Linked DNA regions of Sus scrofa. The protein of the gene in region 2 binds, or shares a complex with, the protein of the main gene of each other region. Links are inferred from orthologs where the notes say so. Each region holds a gene or a part of one and is shown on either strand. Other genes may lie near its edges.

Region 1 (3,652 bases), on a different chromosome or scaffold from region 2:
AAACTGACAATACACATCATGTATACAAATGTATCCATACACACACCACAGCCACACACCACCATGTTAAAATATTTCAAAATAATATACTGAACGGAGATCCTGTCATGGCGCAATGGTTAACAAATCCGACTAGGAACCATGAGGTTGTGGGTTCGTTCCCTGGCCTTGCTCAGTGGGTTAAGGATCCAGCGTTGCTGTGAGCTGTGGTGTGGGTCGCAGACGCTGCTTGGATCCCACGTTGCTATGGCTCTGGCGCAGGCCAGTGGCTACAGCTCTGATTAGACCCCTAGCCTGGGAACCTCCATATGCCTCAGGAGCGGCTCAAGAAAAGGCAAACACACACACACACACAAAAATACTGAAAGAGTTCCCGTTGTGGCTCAGTGGTTAACGAACCCAACTAGAATCCATGAGGACTCGGGTTTGATCTCTGGCCTCACTCAATGGGTTAAGCATCTGGCGTTGCCATGAGTTGTGGCATAGGTTGCAGATGCGGCTCGGATCCCACGTTGCTGTGGCTGTGGTGTAGACCAGCAGCTATAGCTCTGATTGGGGAACTTCCACACGCTATGGGTGCGGACCTAAAAAGACCAAAAAAAAAAAAAAAAAAAAAAGTATTGAAAACCTCTGGGAAGTCAGGTGGGGGTGGAGACAAGATACTTAATTTTCAATTTATATATCCCTCTATGTACTATTTGACTTTCTACTTATACATATATTGCCTTTTATAATTAAATGGATTAATACGGCTATAAGAAACAAAAGTGTTAAAAAGGACTCAACTGTTCTTAGTGTGCTGGAGTTAAGACAGCCAGATGTTTGTGGGAAACACCAAATAAAAGATGCTTATAATCAAGCTTGTGGAATAATTTAAGCAACCAAGATCCACTTTTCACTCTAGTACTTTGTCCTCCCCTCCTCCACTGTAAATCAAACAGGAAGAGAGAATACAGCATTACTTGAGATGTAACCTCTGTTCAGCATCTTCCTCCATTACAAAATTCTTTACATGCAGAAAACCTTCATGATTCTCTATACAGAAAGAGAATCATCCATTAAGGTGATACAGCAAAGCCTAGGAGAACTAAACTTTACCTGGGATTGAAGTCTCCTGGTCCTAATTATGTATTACATAACCCAGAGACAACCTACTTTGCCTTACTGGGACCAAGTACTTGAAATGAAGTAGACATTTCTGAAAATACGTGATCTAATGAGAAATGAAAAAGCCAATGCAAACGTGTAGGAGATGAACAGAGTGAAACACTAAAAAACCCAGACCTGTCTGCTCTGTATTCATTATAAAAAAGGGATAGTTACACATCAACAGTTTTTTCAGGAGGTTCTTCCTCTTTGACAGGCAGTTCTATGGGCTTCGGCTCTTCTTCCTAAAACCAAATGAAACAGGACGGTTAATGTAAATTAAGAGTAAATACCTGTCAAAGAGAAGAATATGAGACTGCCAAAATGAACCAGTCTTTCAGAAGCTGCATTCCCCCTTTATGCTCCCCTAACAAGTTAGCATATAAGCCCTCTAATATCTGCTGCTCAGCAATGTGACCAAGGCAGTGGCACATTGCCAGGCTAGTGACTAACCTTACTCTCTCCAACTCACCTCTGTTTCATCTCCCAGTACATCTTCTTCATTTGCCTCCTCTTCAGCTAAAGAATATTAAAATATTTAGGTCAAGCCCTGCTACAAAACCATCTTGATCACTGCACTTAGGCTAAAATTATAATCAGTTTGTTGCCCCAAAATAAAATTCAATAATGAAGGCAGAAATGATGTTCATAAAATGTGCTCCACATGGAGAAGATAAAACTATATTCTCTACCTAATATCAATACGAAGTTGAATACCAGCTAGACTGAAGGATTAAATGTGATGAGGTCAAACTATAACATTCACAAAAAGTAATGTGTGAGAATTTAGTGGTGGGGAAGAATTTCTCAAAAACAAACCAAAAAACCCTAAAGCAAAAGTAATATGCAAAAAACTGCAGATTTTTCAAACCAGGGAAGGACACTACAGAAAAAGAAACAATGACAAAGACGACATTTGTGTCTATATATACGGTTACTAGAATATAGAAGAAATGTCTGCAAACTAAGTAAATGATGTGAATCCCATCAGAGAAAAGGGCAAAGGAGAAACCCAAAGAACCACAAACAAAAGAAATGTTTAGACTTTTTAAGTCACCACAGAAAAAGAAACAAATGACAAAGAAGATATTTGTGTCTAAAACCAACATGGGGATAATTACCAGAATACTGAAGAAATGACTGCAAAGGAAGTAAATGATATGAATCCCAAAAGAAAAATGGGCAAAGGAAAAAGGTAACAAACCACAAACTTTTTAATAATTCGAGGAATGTAAATTGAAACCACCAAGAGATAAGCAAAAATTAAGTCACTTGACAAGACGATGTCAACTTTAGGTTTGTGGAGGAGATATAAGAACCCTCATGTACTGATGATGAGATTTATAGAGCAATTTAGAAAAACAATTTGGCAGTGTTTAGTCACATTAAGTATACATTTATGTACTTATCAGCAACCCCATTCCTGGGTATATAACCCAGAAAGACTCTCAGGAATTTAAGGGAATATGAAAGAAATAGTTCCGGAGGCAACAAAGGAGCATCAGTCACTGAGTGAACTAAATAAAACGTGGTAAATTCTATACATCAGAATAACCTTGCAGGAATTAGAATCAATAGATTAGATGACCATATAGCCACACACCCCACAAATATATCTTAGAACATGGTACTCTGAGGGAAAGGTAAGAAAAATAAAGTAAGACTATGGCCGCATTGCCAATTACATAAAAATACTGTACACCAAACAACACTACCTGGCTTACAAGGACAAAGACAAAAAATATATACATTAGAATAGCTGGGGCAAATGGCACAGGAATAAAACGGAATAAATAATAAAAATTAGAGAAGGATGACACAATGCCTCAAATGAAGTTGTTTTTCTTTTTAAAAAGGTGGAATTAGAGAATGTCAGAGTTTGAAGGGACCAGAGATTACCTAGGTTCATGGATTTCAAAGGTGGAGACACTTGTCTCACTTCACAGACCAGAACAGACACTTAGCCATGAAAACAGTGGCCATCCTAAATTACCTAGTAAATTTCTGGCACGAGAGGAATCAGAAATCAAAATTTTCCAATTCTGAGTCTAAGGATACTTGCTGTACCATACTACCTTCAAAATATCTGCTGAGGAGTTCCCTTTGTGACAGTGGAAACAGTGGTATCTCTGCACCACCAGGATGCAGGTTCAGTGCCCAGCCTGGCACTGTGGGTTAAGGATCTGGTGTTGCTGCAGCTGTGGCATAAGTCACATATAGCTCAGATCTAATCCCTGGCCCAGGAACTCCATGTGCCATGGGGTAGCCAAAAAAAAGGAAAAAAAAAAATCTGCTGAAATATAATCACAATGTCTTTTCTTAAAAGGTGGTGGTGGGGAGTGGTATTTCTTTCTTTTCACTATAACCACTGTTTTCGATGACCAAGAGTTTTCTGGACAGAGTTAATTAAGACCTCACATCATCAACAACTTACAGGAAAAGAACTCTTCCATATGGCAGAGCTTAAAAATTAATCCCCACATTCACATTAGTCTTTGCCTCCACA
Region 2 (3,752 bases):
TGAAAATGAGTACAAGTAAGTAATGTTTCTCCTCAGCTGATCTCTAGTACCTTTTCTTAAAAATTGTATGTATACTAGAATGCTTAGCAAGGGAGAGAGTTGATGGTACTTCTCCACTTCAGTGAGTTTATATGCCAAGTTCATATTATGACACATCCTGACTTCAGCAACCATTCCCATCAACTAATAAGCAGGACTTAGAATCATGGTTTGATAGTACTTCTCCGCTTCAGTGAGTTTATATGCCAAGTTCATATTATGACACATCCTGACTTCAGCAACCATTCCCATCAACTAATAAGCAGGACTTAGAATCATGGTTATGTCTAAGAAGAAAAATCCCCCCTTGAGCCCACTTCTTATCACCTCTTTTCTCTGTTCCCCTTCAAATCACACTATATCCATCAGTTGTTGATAATTTCCGCCTTCATTTCCTCATCTATTCTCCCTGGCCAGCCTGTGCCTGCTGGGTGATCTTCTAGTCACTCGACTAAAATAGCTGACCAAGGTCACTTATTTTTTGGACCTCTCTCCAGCAGCATTCGCCAGTTGATCATTTTCTTCCCTTGACACCTGTGAAACTACACTCTTCTCTGCTTTTTCCTTTTGCCTCATTGTCTCAGTCTCTTTTGCTGGCTCCAGACCATCTGCCAAATTCTCCAATTTTGGAATAACTACAGGAGTCAGTCTCAGCTTCTTCATCTGAATCTTCCAGGAGACACCACACAGCCCCATGGTTTTAAATAGGCATCCTGGCACATGGTCTAAGTGCCCTTTACTCTCATCAGCCTGCCTGGTCACTCCCGAGATCCAGATCCTACCTCCTGCTAGCTAGGCTTCTAAGGGCTGGTTTAAGCCCTTTTTTGCATGTTTCTTCATCTGTTAAAACAGTCATAGTACCCATTTCATGGCTTATACATACTAAACATTAAATAAAATGGTTCACTTTGAACCATGCACTGTATAGGGGTAGTATTTTAGGTGCCACACCATCTCAGAGGTGGAAGCTCATTTGTAAGCAATGACTAATATACCAGGCTGCTACTCTTAGAACTTGTGGGGGCTTTCAAATGATTTGTAAAAACTCACATTTGTGCTCTGGATTCTCTGTAGCTTACCTGTTTGCAGAAGAACATTATCTTCAGAATTTCCCTGAGGTTTTTCCTTCTCACCTTACTGTTTACCACCTGTTATTTCATTAGTGAAGAGTTCATAGAGTCTATTCTTGGCATCCCTGCTTATGGTGTTGACTCTTGGATGTGTCCCTTTTAGTTTTGGAGCCATTTTTACTCAGTGAGGTTGACATTTGGCAAATTACAGTTTGTTACATAAATGTTAAAAGGCAGATACTGATTAACATGATCCAAAACTGTTTTATTTATAAAATATTCTGAAACTCACATCTGCAGGTGACATTGCTAGTTTGGTTATCAACTCACTGAAGGTAGTGAACCTCTTTCTTACTATATGACCAGGCAGATGATTTCTGTCCTGCACATACAGCACCTAGCAAGTCCTGGACACATACTAACAGACTTTTAACTTAAATAAGATGTAACTTTTAAAGTTCCCATTGTGGCTCAGTGGTAACTAACTCATCTAGTATCCATGAGGACATGGGTTCAATCCTTGGCCTCACTCAGTGGGTTAAGGATCCAGCATTGCCATGAGCTGTGGTGTAGGTTGCAGACAAGGCTTGGATCTGGTGATGCTGTGACTGTGGTATAGGCCAGAGGCTACAGCTCTCATTCAACCCCTAGCCTGGGACCTTCCATATGCCGTGGGTATGGTCCTAAAAAGACCAAAAAAGTATGTAAACTTTTGAATTGTGTTTGCTACATATGAACCTGCCTCTTTGGACTCCATTGGTTTCTGATTTGTAAGAGAACTGCATACTGAGACGTTCTGTAGGGCTATGATCACAAGGAAGAGATGGTGCCCTCAGCTACTGACCTGAGAGGACATTATTTCATGTGGTGAAGTTCCATGCACTAGAAGGGAACATGTAAATAAAACACTCAATTACAAGACTGGCATCTCTTTTTATAGGGCTGTGAACAATTCAAATTACGGTTGGAGAGCCCTGAGACTGTTAGCTCGGAGAAGCCCTCACTTCTTCCAGCCAACCAACCAGCAGTTCAAAAGTTTGCCAGAATATCTTGAAAACATGGTAATAAAGCTAGCCAAGGAATTACCAGTAAGTAATATAGGCCAATTTTTTCATCCTTTAGTTGGCATTATCTTCCTTTTTTAAGAGCTGAATTTAGCCTTTATTACATGAAAAAAATGATCCACAAACCCCCTTTAGAATGAGGAAGATGCACTGTGTGTGTGTGTGTATGTGTATGTGTATTACACTTACATAAATTGGTAACTTTACGTGCTATATCAAAAATTATTAATTTATTATATTTTGGGTAAACTTATTTTTCCTGTTTTGCCAAAGCATTACATTTTATCAAAGATAGGGCCTTTGGGGGTAGCAGTAGGTAACCTGGCCTGTATTGTTCTACTCTGTTCTTTTCCAGTACAGTATGGTAATAACTATACTATGTGCATCAAATCTAAGAAAATTACTCAAAAAAAACCCACTTAAGGACATGGTTGCTCCCCTAGTCTTCCTAAAGCATTGTTACTATTTGCTGGGTCCTTGCAAGTCATTTTACTATACTTCTTACTGGCTCCCTTCTTCCCACATTAGGGCAAAGGGCCTTTCTAACCTTCAGGTTTTCACCGTCCCACTGTGATCCTTACCTGACATTTGGGCCCCATGATTGGAATCTCTTACCTAAATAATAAGCACTCCCAGTTATATTATTTTAGAAGTTGGCACTCTTTTAAGACATTCTTCTTACTCATTTTAGCCTCCTTCTGAAGAAATAAAAACAGGTGAGGATGAAGATGAGGAAGATAATGATGCTTTACTGAAGGAAAATGAAAGTAAGATTTGAATTTTCTTGGCTATTTTACAAAATTGGAAAAGATTGGGGTTCTTGGTTGAGAGGTACGTTATTTAATTTTGATCTACTTCTCAACTTCTACCATTTATCTCAGCTCTGTTTCTTATAGTGAGGAATCTAGAACATTGCCTGATAATAACGTTTAAAATAAGACATCTTATACAATAAAATTTGGAAGTATTGGAAAGGAAAGTACTTAAATTTGAAGGCAACTCATACCTCTTAATTCTTGGGTATTAGATTGGGGCAGCTGGTTTCAGAAGATGCCTTCATAATTATAATAGAGGCAATGATTCCTCAATGATCATGATAAGAATAGTAATTCAACATGTGGAAAATGCAAAAGAACCGTCTTTTAAAATAAAGCTAATAAAAGATGATTAATATCTCAGCTTCCCCATGTTCCATTATATACTTTGAATCTTACACGTCCTCATACTTTGTTCATAATCTGCATTTCATGTGTTTTCTAGGTCCTGATGTTCGACGAGACAAACCTGTAACAGGGGACCAAATAGAAGTATTTGCTAACAAATTGGGTGAACAATGGAAGATTCTGGCTCCCTACCTGGAAATGAAAGACTCAGAAATTAGACAGATTGAGTGTGACAGCGAAGACATGAAGATGCGAGCTAAGCAGCTCCTAGTGGCCTGGCAGGATCAGGAGGGCGTGCACGCAACACCTGAGAACCTCATCAGTGCACTCAACAAGTCCGGATTAAGTGACCTTGCAGAAAGTCTAACTAATGACAATGAGACAAATAGTTAGCTTCTTTTTTTTATTATTAAAAC
Region 3 (3,752 bases), on a different chromosome or scaffold from region 2:
TGCCTTTAAATACCTTAACTTTTCTTAGTTTCAAATGATTACTTTTTCTGACTCCAAGTTGATTACTTCTGAAAAGTTAAGATTAGTTCAATCATTGAGGCTCTTGTGAAGACACTCTTCTATTATTCCTGTCGAATTTAACGGAATGAAAGAGAAGAACACTTAAGCGCAAAAGAATCCAAAACAAAAACAAACTAAAAGCAGAATGGAAAGAAAGTGAAATGGAGCAAAGCAAGTGCCTCTTACAAGGTCCAAGAATGACATTCAAGGGCCTTTGGACATATTCATAGCTTGCTACCTGCCTCTTACAGGCCAGACACAACACTGCTGGCCTTGGACTGGGCAGCAAGCCTACTGCAGCCGGGGTTCCATGCTACCAAGCTGCACCACCCCTGTATCAATGTAAAAAAAATGTGAAGAAAATGGAGGGTGTGAGGAGTCTTTTAAAATACATCCCACCAGAGAAATATTTCAGACAGCTTAACATAAAAATCTACTGATAAGTGGTTTTGAAACAACCGCCCAATTTGTTTTGTGTACCACATAAGATGCTACTAAGAACAGAGGTCTGTAGCCTTCTGTTGGTATTTAGCTTAAAACTGGTTTTTGTGCATTGGACCCAGGGCCAACTTAAGTAATGTTTTCTTATGAACGAGCTGAAGTTGCTGTTGGCTGCCTCACCGCTCATTTAGAGACATCTTGGTGGTGCTTTTTAGCACAACTTTCGGTGCTGACTGTGCAGCCATCTTCAAATCCCGAGAATCTACAAAAGACAATGGGCAAAGTGAGCAAATCAGAATGATGACTACCTCATTTCAACAGGGCCAAAGGCCCAAACCAAAAATGAATGAATAGGCCTGTCTCAATGACTACTGAAGATCACACCAAAACTCATTTCAGGTGCTTACATTTAGAAGCTAAGTTATCTGGAATTAATAAACTTCAAGGCCACATGACAGAAAATACCTGCCCAAGCCTCCAAAAATGGCAGACCTAGACCTAGCCAAAGAAAGTGTTTGGCTTTTCATCTAGAGCGGTCCTTCTCTACCTTGGCTGCAAGGAGCTTTAAAAAACAACAACAGGAGTTCCCTTCATGGCTCCGCGGTCACAAACCCAACTAGCATCCTTGAGGATGTGGGTTGGACCCCTAGCCTCGCACAGTGGGTTAAGGATCTAGCGTTGCTGTGGGTTGTGGTCTAGGCCGGCAGCTACAGCTCCAATTCGACCTCTAGCCTTGGAACTTCTATATATGCGGCCCTAAAAAGACAAAACAACAACAAAGACAGACACAAAATACAGAAGCTTCGGCCCAAACCATTTAAAGCACAATCTCTGCTGGTGAGGTCTGGGGATCAGCAATTAGAAGGTGGTGCGGGGAGGGGGGGTGGTGTCTAACTTGCTGCTTCTCATGTGCAGCCAAAATTCAGAACCACTGCTCTAGAGAGATGATACAGGTTTACCAGTTTACAAATTGGCTTTCAACTCCAAAGTCTTGCAGGAACCTTAGCAAGGGACTGGGGACGTGGGGGAGGGATGGAGTAGGAAAGGTTTCCTAAATGGGCGTTCACCTGGGAGTTCGATCCCAGAGAGCACGCCACAAAATTTAACTCTACAGCTGCCAGTGCATTCTGACGTTCCCTAAAGCCGTGTAGTCCTCCTCTGAACTCCCATCTCAAAGCCCCGTCCGGGACCGCCAACGTTGCTCAACCCGCCCAGCAATGTTCCTTTCTATTCCTACCAAATCCCAACCTCCAGCAGCGAGTTTCCAGCTCGGGGCCTCCCCCGCCTCCCTCTCAGGGGCTCCGCCCCCTCCCGGGGCCTCCACTCCCCGACACCCAATCTGCTTCCACATCCCACCAGCTCCCACTCCACGACCGCCGGGCCCGGGCGCTCCCCAAGACTTTTGCCCTCCTTCTCACCACAGAAACGTACCGAAGGAAACGGACGCCAGTGCTCCTCCCGGGGTTGCCACCACGGCTGCGACAGGCTGGCCGGGGGCCGGCCGAACCTGAGTTGACGGTGGAGGGGCTCGGATTAACTTGGTGGGCGGTTGGTTGTATGTGTTAAACGGTAGAATGCTAGGTTAGTTCGTTGATGCTGGGTGGCTGTCCGGTCGGCCGGTTCGCCTGCTCGCCCGGCGTGCCCTTTCCTGCCTTTCACCACAGCCGCTGCCGCCAACTCCCGCTCGCTCTCCAAAACAAAATGGCCGCCACGCCCAGTGCGGAATGGGACCGGCTAAAATGGCGTCGACGCCATTACGTCAGACGTCAGGTCTGCGCACAGCGCAGGAGGCGGGAAAATTTGTGTTACGCCTGCGCGGGGGATGAGGCGGAGCTCCAGGGAAAAGGCGGGGCTTTAGGCTGTATTACACTCCGAGCCCCACCCGGGAAGGGGCGTGGCCAATATATTCTCTCTTGGGTTTTAAGGCGGCTGCAAGTTGGTGATTTGGGACGTTCAAGGCGGATTTGGTCCTCTTAAGAAAAGAAGTTCGTATTTCATTGCGGGTCCCTCCACCCCTAAAGCTAAGGCAGACCGACTAAAATTCTTTACGCGACATGACTCGGTCTTTCTTCCGAGAGCCACCGGGCCGGTGTAATTTGCGCTGGCTCCCCCCTCAGCATACGCCCCTTTTAGAGTTGTGGGTTGCCATAAACGCACCTGGGGACCAGTGCAGGGAGCACACCTCACTGGATCCTGCACCACGCACCACTGCCCGTCCATATTTTTCTCTTCACTTCCCTTCCCAATTTGGCCTGAAGATTGTTAAATTCTTATTTGGGGGAAGCTTTGCGTCCCCGCAACCTATTCCAATGTCTTCTCCCTCCATCTAGCTTCCATGTGGATTTTGATGCAGACCTATATGGCATTTTCCTTATACCTGGGCACACAATAAAAGGCTCAGATGGGAGTTCCCGTCGTGGCGCAGTGGTTAAGGAACCCAACTAGGAACCATGAGGTTGCGGGTTCGATCCCTAGCCTTGCTCAGTGGGTTAACGATCCGGCATTGCTGTGAGCTGTGGTGTAGGTTGCAGACGCGGCTCGGATCCAGCGTTGCTGTGGCTCTGGCGTAGGCCAGGTGGCTGCACCTCTGATTCAACCCCTAGCCTGGGAACCTCCATATGCCGTGGGAGCGGCCCAAGAAATAGCAAAAAAAGACCAAAAAAAAAAAAAGGCTCAGATGTTGGAAGAATGAGTGAATGAACATGTCCTCAGTTCCACCTCCACTCTCTTAAAGGCGCATGAGATCCTTTCATTTTCCTTCCTAGCATTTATACGTGTATGTTTAATGGTTTGGCACCCTTTACTGGACTTCACCTATGTGACAGTGAGGGTTGTGTTTGTTTTGCTCACTGCTGTATTCCCAGTTTCCACACAATGTCTAGCACGGGGTAGGTCTTCAGCACATATTCTTCGAAAGTTGAAGGGCAATTTTTCTGGCTTCAAAGCTGAAAAGCTGATGTCTCTGCCACTTCCAGCTGGAACCTTGAGCCTCTACCTTTCTGGGCCTTGAGCATTCCTTAAGTAGGAAGATGTAATGGTTCCTTGATCTTTCTCCAAAATAAGATCCCTCCCCAAATAAAGCAATTTGGGAGTGAACAGCCTTCACTTCCCCACCCATTTCCAAACCCTGAAGGACCAGAGACAGCAGCTGGTGGCTGGTGAGAGAGGAGCCTTTAATGAAAGATGAGTTGCAGGCCTGGCCCACTACTCTTGCGCCCCTGTTGGAGGGTAGGCAAGGGTGAGAAGGTGGG

The links.
Region 1: THOC1 (region 2) and SARNP share a complex: the UniProt entries of both Homo sapiens proteins name them as parts of the transcription/export (TREX) complex. The link is inferred for Sus scrofa from reciprocal best matches to the Homo sapiens genes THOC1 and SARNP.
Region 3: THOC1 (region 2) and CHTOP share a complex: the UniProt entries of both Homo sapiens proteins name them as parts of the transcription/export (TREX) complex. The link is inferred for Sus scrofa from reciprocal best matches to the Homo sapiens genes THOC1 and CHTOP.

The regions. Positions count from the first base shown.
Region 1 is NC_010447.5:21,248,801-21,252,452, forward strand, and holds part of SARNP (SAP domain-containing ribonucleoprotein), read right to left. Parts: intron 1,666-3,652; coding exon 1,619-1,665; intron 1,392-1,618; coding exon 1,324-1,391; intron 1-1,323. UniProt on the Homo sapiens protein: Binds both single-stranded and double-stranded DNA with higher affinity for the single-stranded form. Specifically binds to scaffold/matrix attachment region DNA. Also binds single-stranded RNA. Enhances RNA unwinding activity of DDX39A.
Region 2 is NC_010448.4:106,084,196-106,087,947, forward strand, and holds part of THOC1 (THO complex subunit 1), read left to right. Parts: coding exon 1-15; intron 16-2,049; coding exon 2,050-2,197; intron 2,198-2,864; coding exon 2,865-2,940; intron 2,941-3,433; coding exon 3,434-3,729; 3' UTR 3,730-3,752. UniProt on the Homo sapiens protein: Component of the THO subcomplex of the TREX complex which is thought to couple mRNA transcription, processing and nuclear export, and which specifically associates with spliced mRNA and not with unspliced pre-mRNA.
Region 3 is NC_010446.5:96,003,373-96,007,124, forward strand, and holds the start of CHTOP (chromatin target of PRMT1 protein), read right to left. Parts: upstream 2,243-3,752; 5' UTR 1,933-2,242; intron 764-1,932; 5' UTR 747-763; coding exon 682-746; intron 1-681. UniProt on the Homo sapiens protein: Plays an important role in the ligand-dependent activation of estrogen receptor target genes. May play a role in the silencing of fetal globin genes.